Oryzias latipes: one gene and its partner. The protein of the gene in region 1 purifies or fractionates together with the protein of each later gene. This does not show direct contact. Links are inferred from orthologs where the notes say so. Each region holds a gene or a part of one and is shown in the gene's direction. Other genes may lie near its edges. The genes, in order: pip4k2a and S-adenosylhomocysteine hydrolase-like protein 1.

Region 1 (3,823 bases):
GCATTCTTAAAAAGTAACAACATAAAGTAGGAAACTTCTGGTAAAAATCTCTCTTTGATTCTATAGCTGCTCATTTCCCTTTCAGTGCCAGTGTGCTGAAATAGTTTTGATCAAATCCCTGTGCTTTATTTCTGGTGTTTTTATACCTTTCAGGTAACTTCTTTGATTTCAGTCAGTGTGTGGTATTAAAAGAGTTCTAATCCTGATCTGCTTGATCAGCACTCTGTGTGATTAAACAAACCATTACATTTATTGAAGTGTCTGTCTTTCAGACCAGTTTCATCATGTCCTAATTCAATCAGAAACTTTGAATAAACTCAAAATCCCAAAGCCATGTGGACTGTTAGACGGAAAGAGGCCTGTATTTAAAAAAACAGACACAGCTTCTAGCAGGTTCACTGTCACGACCCAAATGGACCAACACAAAGTTTGGTTTTGCTTTGTTTCCTTTTGGGAAACAATGACAGATGAAAAGATCCATCCCCTTAAGTCAGGACCCACCTCGTGACCTCTATCCCTTTCTAACCACTGCACGCTAGTTTTGTCCCCCTCTTTCCCTGCTTCTGCCGTTCCATTAGTATCCCTGCTTGCTGGCTGTGTGTGACGGGTTGAGTGTGTGTTTTAAGTTTGTTGTGGCTTTGATAACTCGTCTTCTTGTATAATTGGTGATGTTATGAGTCTGAATGGTGTATTTACGTGTGTGTTTTTGCGCGTCTGTTTGTGTAATATTTGAAAATAAGAAACATTTCTTGATGTTGGAGATGAAAATGAGACTTTTAAATCTTTTTGAGGGTTTTTGGCGTTAGTCATTTCACAGCTTCTTCCACCAATAATTTTAACCTTATTGCAATTATTTCCAATTTTGCTTCTTCTTTTTTTGGCAGTTAAGCAACTTTGAGTATCAGCATTGAATGTTTTTCACCTAACCTCTTGTGGTTTTAGTTATATTACAGTTCTAAGTTCTGAAATAATGTTTATTATATTTATTTATTTTCATTATATGTCTGGAAAATGTTGCTCGGTGAATGTTTTTTTTCTGTGAGACTGTCCCTGTAGTGGCTGTTAGAGCCGTCTGCTGCGTCGGTCTGACATGCCAGGCGTCAAGCAGTAAGACATCAGGGAAACCCCCCTGAACTAATTTTAGAAATCAGCAGATAAAGCAAAAAGCAAAACTTTATTAAAGCCAGAGCAGCTGGGAATTCAGCACACATGTGAGTCTGCCGTTAGGATGGGTTTTTGTGTGCAGCACAGCTGTCAACACACTTGCTTCTTCCAAATGCAATTGAGAAACAGCAGAAGAGTTTTTCTTAGAAAAAAGGTTTTTCTTTAACCTCAAGGTTTGGCACTCTTTTAAACAAAGTGTGACAAACTGTCGCTAATTTTTATTCCTCTGAAAAGGCTTTTTGTCAGAAAGAGTAACCATCATAATTGAAGTTTATCGAGCAGTTGTCTCAGCCTTTCCACTTCTAAAGGATTACTGTCTTGAAAAGCTTTAGTTACGACGATGAAGGTGTGCGATTACACTTTCAGAAGTGGGTTGGATTGTTCTCTCGTGTTAGCTTCCAAACAAAAACAACACAAGCGAGTTTTTCATCCTACTGCATGGCTGGCCTCCTTTTAATGCATGCGTCTGCATGGAATGCAATTAATTGTGCATCCCTTGAAGAACTACATTCTTTCTAATGTCTTTACATGTGGACGAAAACCAACCTCTTTCATTTGCACCTTCTTTATCTGTTCTGGGATTTATAGCTTTAAACATTAGAGGGCTTGAACTAAATTTGTTTCTTTAATAATCTCATCACGTCACATCAGCTAATGTTTGTTGTCTTTCTTGGCTGTGATGGGAGCTATATTGTTGACATGTTGTGGATTCTAACCCACTGAATTTTAATGTGGAAAATGTAAAGATTGTGTTTTCTTGGTTCATAGAAGAGCACTTGTTTCTTCTCAGAAACTCTCAGCACCAGTTTTTATTCTGTCCTCTTATCAGCTCAGCGTTGAGCACGCAAGGCTTTCATGTAGCAATACGACTGGAGTAAGGTGTGAGTTTACCTGTTAGCTCATCTCCTTTGATGTAGGAATGAAATCCCTAGATTTAACCCCAGATCTGATAAAGCACAGAACAAAGTTTATTCATTTCAACGTCATTTTTGTTTGTTTGTTTGCTTTGCTTGCTTTTGCCAGAACCCACCAGCAGCAAAAGCGCAAGAAAAACCTGCTGCAATTTCTTTTACTTCTTGCATCCTTCAGTGGCAGTTGCTATCCAAATAGCACCATCAAACCCTTTCAAAACAATCTGTATACACTCTAGTTCAACTTTGCTTCTATGGCAGCATTATTTCTTACCAAAAAGTATTTTAAATAGAGGAGGAAACTGTAAAGGGGATAAAAATAGCTCAAAATAACTATTATTATCTTGGTTGAAAAATCGTTCGATTAGTGTCTATAAGCTCTGTTTAAATCATTTCTTTGGTGAGCAATCTAAGGAAGACCACAGCTCTGTACATTCATAGTTGAAGCTCAAATTAAATCTTAATTGATGATTTTACTGTCTCATTTGAAATTTAGATTTACGTTCATCAGATGTTATCTGAAACCGTTGCTTTGCTGCTTTAAACATATGAAATAATTATTAGAAAATGGACTCGTCTGAAACCAATCACAACATTTGTATGCGTGCAGCTCAATTACATTTGCGCTAAGGGCGCGGCATGGCACATCATGTATCATTGCTTTGGTGGTGTGTTACTTCCTGTTTTGAGTGGTTTTTATGACACAGCATTCATATGATCATACAAGGCATATTCCTCAATCTGGGACAGTTTTTGAGCCTTGAATGAGTGAATGTTATAAGGTTGTCATTAAAAATGTAGGAACTCCTCTTAAGTAAATTGGGGCTCAGTTTAACAAAAATCAGCAAATATAGTATGCCAGTGCTTCTATAACAATAAATATATTTGTGAACCCTCTCTTTCTTTATGCACTCAGACACACTGAAGACTACAAATCTTCCGCGTTTTACCCTTTCCAGTCCTTTACCCCTTTAAACACTTGTGTTCTGTTAAACTTGAACCTTTACCTCCAACTTGCTTCCTCCATTCTTCTCTTTCTTCTCTCCTCTCCTCTCCTCCACCCCTACATCCCTTCCTCACTCCCCCCTTTTCTAGCAGCCAACCCAACCAGAGGATGCGCCCCCTCGGCCCAAATCTGGTAATGTTCAGCAAAGGCTGCAAACACTGCGGATTGCCACGCGCTTTTACTGTGCCATGAAACACGTAAGAGATGTAAGAGAACCAGGGCTCAAATACTAGGCATGATCTATTATAAACGTATTTCATTGTACTACATATCCACAGTGGTACAGAAAAGTGTTCGCCTGTTTTGCATTCCTCAGGTTGTTCCATTTAAAAAGATGAGAGAGGTCTGTGATGTTCGTCATAGATACACTTCAAGTGTTAGAGACGGAAGGCAAAAAATAAAACAGGAGATCAAATTGTATAATTTTAAGGTCTGTTTTTGTGTATTAGTGCAGAAAACAAGTATTTAACTCTTCTAAACAAGCAAGAATTCTGTCCCTCACGGAACTGTTACTTCCTTAAGAAGTTCTATCCTCCACTTGTTACCTGTATGAATGGTTCCTGTTTGAACAGGTCATCTGTTTAAAAGTCACCTGTCCACACCGTTTGACAGTCAGACTGCAATCCCCCACCAAGACTAAAACCAAAAGCTGTCTAAGTCCTTAGAAGTATGGAGGTGGAAGCATCATGCTGTGGAGCTGCTTCTCTTCAAATGATCTTCATTAAGGAATGGGTGAATGAGG
Region 2 (3,823 bases), on another chromosome or scaffold:
TTTGTCTCCGTTTCCTTCCCACAGATGTTTACGCTCGCTCGATTATCTCTAGGCCCCTCCCCCTCCACGCATTTTAGCCACTCACAGTGGCTTTCCCTATTCTTCTCACACGCAGTGGCCGCCTCACACACAGGCATCACGCGAGAGTGTACGTCCCCCTGTTTTCATGAGTATGTGCGCGAGTGTGCGTGTCTGCCTGCGTGCGTGTGCGCTCGCGTCTCATTGATTATTTCATTGATCATTGACGTGCCCCTTCCACGTTTAATGTATAAAAAGTACGAAGGGTGGGGGAGGCAAATTTACTGGTCGCACATGTGCGACTGGATGTAAAATTCAGTCACACACTCTCAAATTTTGGTCGCAAAATGCGACCAATTGGTCGCAGTCTGGAGCCCTGTAATACAGTAAAATAACGAATAATAATTATAGAATAACGAAAAATTAAAAATACCTCCCCTCCCCCCCACCTGACGATATCTTTGTCCATCCCGATTGTTTACTGCAAACATCGTCGACTGCCAATTTAAGGGACATGGCCCAACCCTACTCTGTAGATCTGAGAGTTTCTCTGTGAACATTGAAACCAACATGACTCATCCTCATTTCTGTTGTAGCAATCAATCAAGAAATGTTTCAGAGTTTCCTCTTCATTATGGGATGTCATGTTGTTTTTTTTTTTTACAAAGCATTTCCTCTTGACTCGGACTCTGACAGGGAGTCTGTTGAGTGACATAAGCCAAGCGGGAATGTTTTTGTTTTCTCCTTTAATTGGCCTCCATGTGAATGTTCCTGTTCATCTTTTATGCATTATTTTTGCTGAAGAGCCAATCCGGTTTACGTTGAGACTCTGACATGTATGCACGGGCTCCTGAAAGTTCAATACAATCCAGTGTTCCCTTGTGTGTGGTGGGGGTTACGGTCTAAAAAATCCCCAGCAGTTGGTGAAATCCGTGACGTTGGATTCCGGATGTTCTAAGGCGGTAGACCTCCTCACTACACCCTTTTCTCACACAGACATGAACCTTTTCACACTTTTCTCTGTTGTTTCGACTCTCAAAGTTCAACCCCTCATAGAGAAATAAGTCCAGTGTTGAAGACAAAGATCTGATCCACTTACGTAAACGTGGAAAACTGGACGCATTCTGTAAAGGAGACATGGCATGGACCGGATTGAAGGAATAAAGAGCCAATCAAGACGCAGAACACAGTGTACTGTTTCAAAAAGAAAAATGGCACTGAAAAAAATGTGTGAAACAGCGAGAGCGAACCATTTCATAGCGGGGGGGAGCAGGAATGCGACTCCTGTTCATGTAATCTGTCCCCCAAGGACATCCTGTCTGTTTTTACCCATACTGCATCTCTTCTCTTCAAACAGGAAGAGCCGAGAGCACAAAGAAGAAAACTGCGTCTTTCTCACTCTGCATTCGTTTTCTTTCCGAGGCATTTTCCTGGTGGTTTTTCAGATTCGCACTTTGGAGGGGGGCGTGACTCTGTAGATGACTTCAGGTGTTTGGTCTGTAGTCTGTCTTGTATTCAAGCTGTTGCTGTGCAACGACACCAGCTCAGTGAAGCATACAAATGGGACCAGACCAACCAGCTGAGTGTGAAAGTGCCCTCAGGGAAGCGATCTAGTAGCCCTTGTGCTATCCTAGGCACTTTAACATTGGGAGTGGGGTCATCTAGACCCACTAGACAGTGCTCTGAACCTTTTTTCTTCAATGATTTGTGATCTTCACTGGTGTCCATGGATAACATGAAATCTTTCCACCTTTATCCACCTTTGTCATGGTAGGGAGAACACGTCAATGGAAGGGGGGGGTCGTCTAAAATAGCACAAGGGGTAAAACGGTGATGATGTTTCTACGACAAACTGATGTGATGGAAGTTGTTGTTTTCTGAGCTTTGATTATGGGTGATATACCACCTATGCATGATTCGGTTAACTTGGGGCTAACTTTTAATGATCATAAGCCGGTTTTCTCTGTTGCTATTTATTCTTTGATCATCTCTGAACACGCTTTCACTTTCCACAAATGGTGAACCTTCTGTGTCAAACCTCCACAGCCTGAAGAGAACCACAGACGTCATGTTTGGAGGCAAACAGGTGGTGATCTGTGGGTACGGAGAGGTGAGATCCTTTTTGGAACATCACCACATTTCTCACAAGCATGATCATTTCTTCCATATTAAAGTCCCATTCCTAGCTTCTTTTGATCTATTTTCAAAGTGGTGTTTTAATTAAGATGATGCCGTTTTTAGGCAAAATCAAAAACCCTCGGTCGTTTTCTAGGACATGGTTTCTGCAGAGCGGCAGGAGTTCATTACACAACTATAGAAAAGGGAAATAGGTAAAAATGCTATTCCAGTGGGCTGTGACATGTTGGGACTAGTTACAGCAGGGGTGCTCATTACATCCATCAAAGGATGAGACGGTAGCTGGCGGGACATCAAAGATTGATAAATATATTTTTAAAAATCCGTCAGCGACTCATCCTCCTCGGCGAAATATGTCACTTGATTGACATGCAGAACGGCCAATCGAACGTCCTCTGAGAAGTGCGTCGCTGTGTTTAACTACACGCATTTTCTTTCTTTTTTCTCCCGGCACGCAGCAGGGCTTCTGCCCCCCCCAGCCTGCTGTTTGATCGCCGGGGGTTAAGTCGGCCTAACCTCGCTTTAGAAATGTCACCCCCCCCATCACATGGTTTACAGCACAGCATGAAACGCCATCATTCCTGCTTTCTGTAATGATATATTACTACAAGAATAATATTAATACACATGACAAAGCCATGTTTTTACAAAGATTGCTGAACTCTTACTGTGTAGTTTTTGTGTTGTTCGTAAATAAACAGCGTTTTTGACTGGAGATGCATTGATTGGAAGTTGTTGAAGTCGAATAAAGTGACTTTGGTGCATAATCACTATTATTGTTCTACACAGACTGCACTGTCATCTCACAGAGATTAGAGTGCTTTTACTGTATTTTTTTAATGATTATTACACAAACATGCATTTTAGAATAAAAGTACTGTATACGTTGTCCACTTTGAAGGCCTCAAAGTTGACGGTTAGAACCAGATTACAAAAACTATAACATGAATAAACTCAGTAGGGGGGGGATTATATAAACTCGCTTCTTCTCACTTCTTTTCAGGCCATAAATCGAGCTCTACTTGACTTTAGTTAATGATCCCTGTTTTTAATTAAGCAAATGTGATTTAACTGTTTTTTGTTTGTTTTATTTTCTGTTTTTCTTTATCTATGCATTTCATCATTTGATATTTGAGTTTGATAAATCTGTTAAAATTCTTTATTGCTTTGACTATAATGCTTGAAATAAATCCATCAATCAATTAATCAATCAATCAAGTAAAATTTAAGGTGACCTTAGTGCACATGCATAAGAACAAATGTATGTCTAGATCTACACCTTTTGGAGGTTGTCGTATCAAAAGTAGCTCGCATGCCAAAAAAGTGTGAGCACCACTGAGTGACGGACTTACATGGAGATTTGGCAGCAACGGGTGTCTCTTTTTTTGTGGTGTTGCAGGTTGGAAAAGGCTGCTGTGCTGCTCTGAAAGCTTTGGGAGCCATAGTCTACGTGACAGAAATCGATCCCATCTGCGCCCTGCAGGCTTGGTAGGAGAAAGAACCACTTCTGCCAGCGTGGCGTGAGCAGACAGAATATCTAACAGTCTGCTGGATTACTGATGCCAAAACCTTTAGCTGAATCCATTTTCATGTCAGACAGGCCTGACTGTTGGCTGACCTCTGCCTTGTTTTGTGTTCCACAGCATGGATGGATTCAGGGTGGTCAAAC

The links.
Region 2: the proteins of pip4k2a (region 1) and S-adenosylhomocysteine hydrolase-like protein 1 purify together in Homo sapiens (co-immunoprecipitation; 3 studies listed by BioGRID and IntAct, counting the BioPlex papers as one, with this or other methods). This does not show direct contact. The link is inferred for Oryzias latipes from reciprocal best matches to the Homo sapiens genes PIP4K2A and AHCYL1.

What each region holds. Positions count from the first base shown.
Region 1 is NC_019878.2:14,730,332-14,734,154, forward strand, and holds part of pip4k2a (phosphatidylinositol 5-phosphate 4-kinase type-2 alpha), read left to right. Parts: intron 1-3,170; coding exon 3,171-3,287; intron 3,288-3,823. UniProt on the Homo sapiens protein: Catalyzes the phosphorylation of phosphatidylinositol 5-phosphate (PtdIns5P) on the fourth hydroxyl of the myo-inositol ring, to form phosphatidylinositol 4,5-bisphosphate (PtdIns(4,5)P2). Has both ATP- and GTP-dependent kinase activities.
Region 2 is NC_019863.2:2,336,906-2,340,728, forward strand, and holds part of S-adenosylhomocysteine hydrolase-like protein 1, read left to right. Parts: intron 1-2,064; coding exon 2,065-2,128; intron 2,129-3,553; coding exon 3,554-3,642; intron 3,643-3,797; coding exon 3,798-3,823. UniProt on the Homo sapiens protein: Multifaceted cellular regulator which coordinates several essential cellular functions including regulation of epithelial HCO3(-) and fluid secretion, mRNA processing and DNA replication.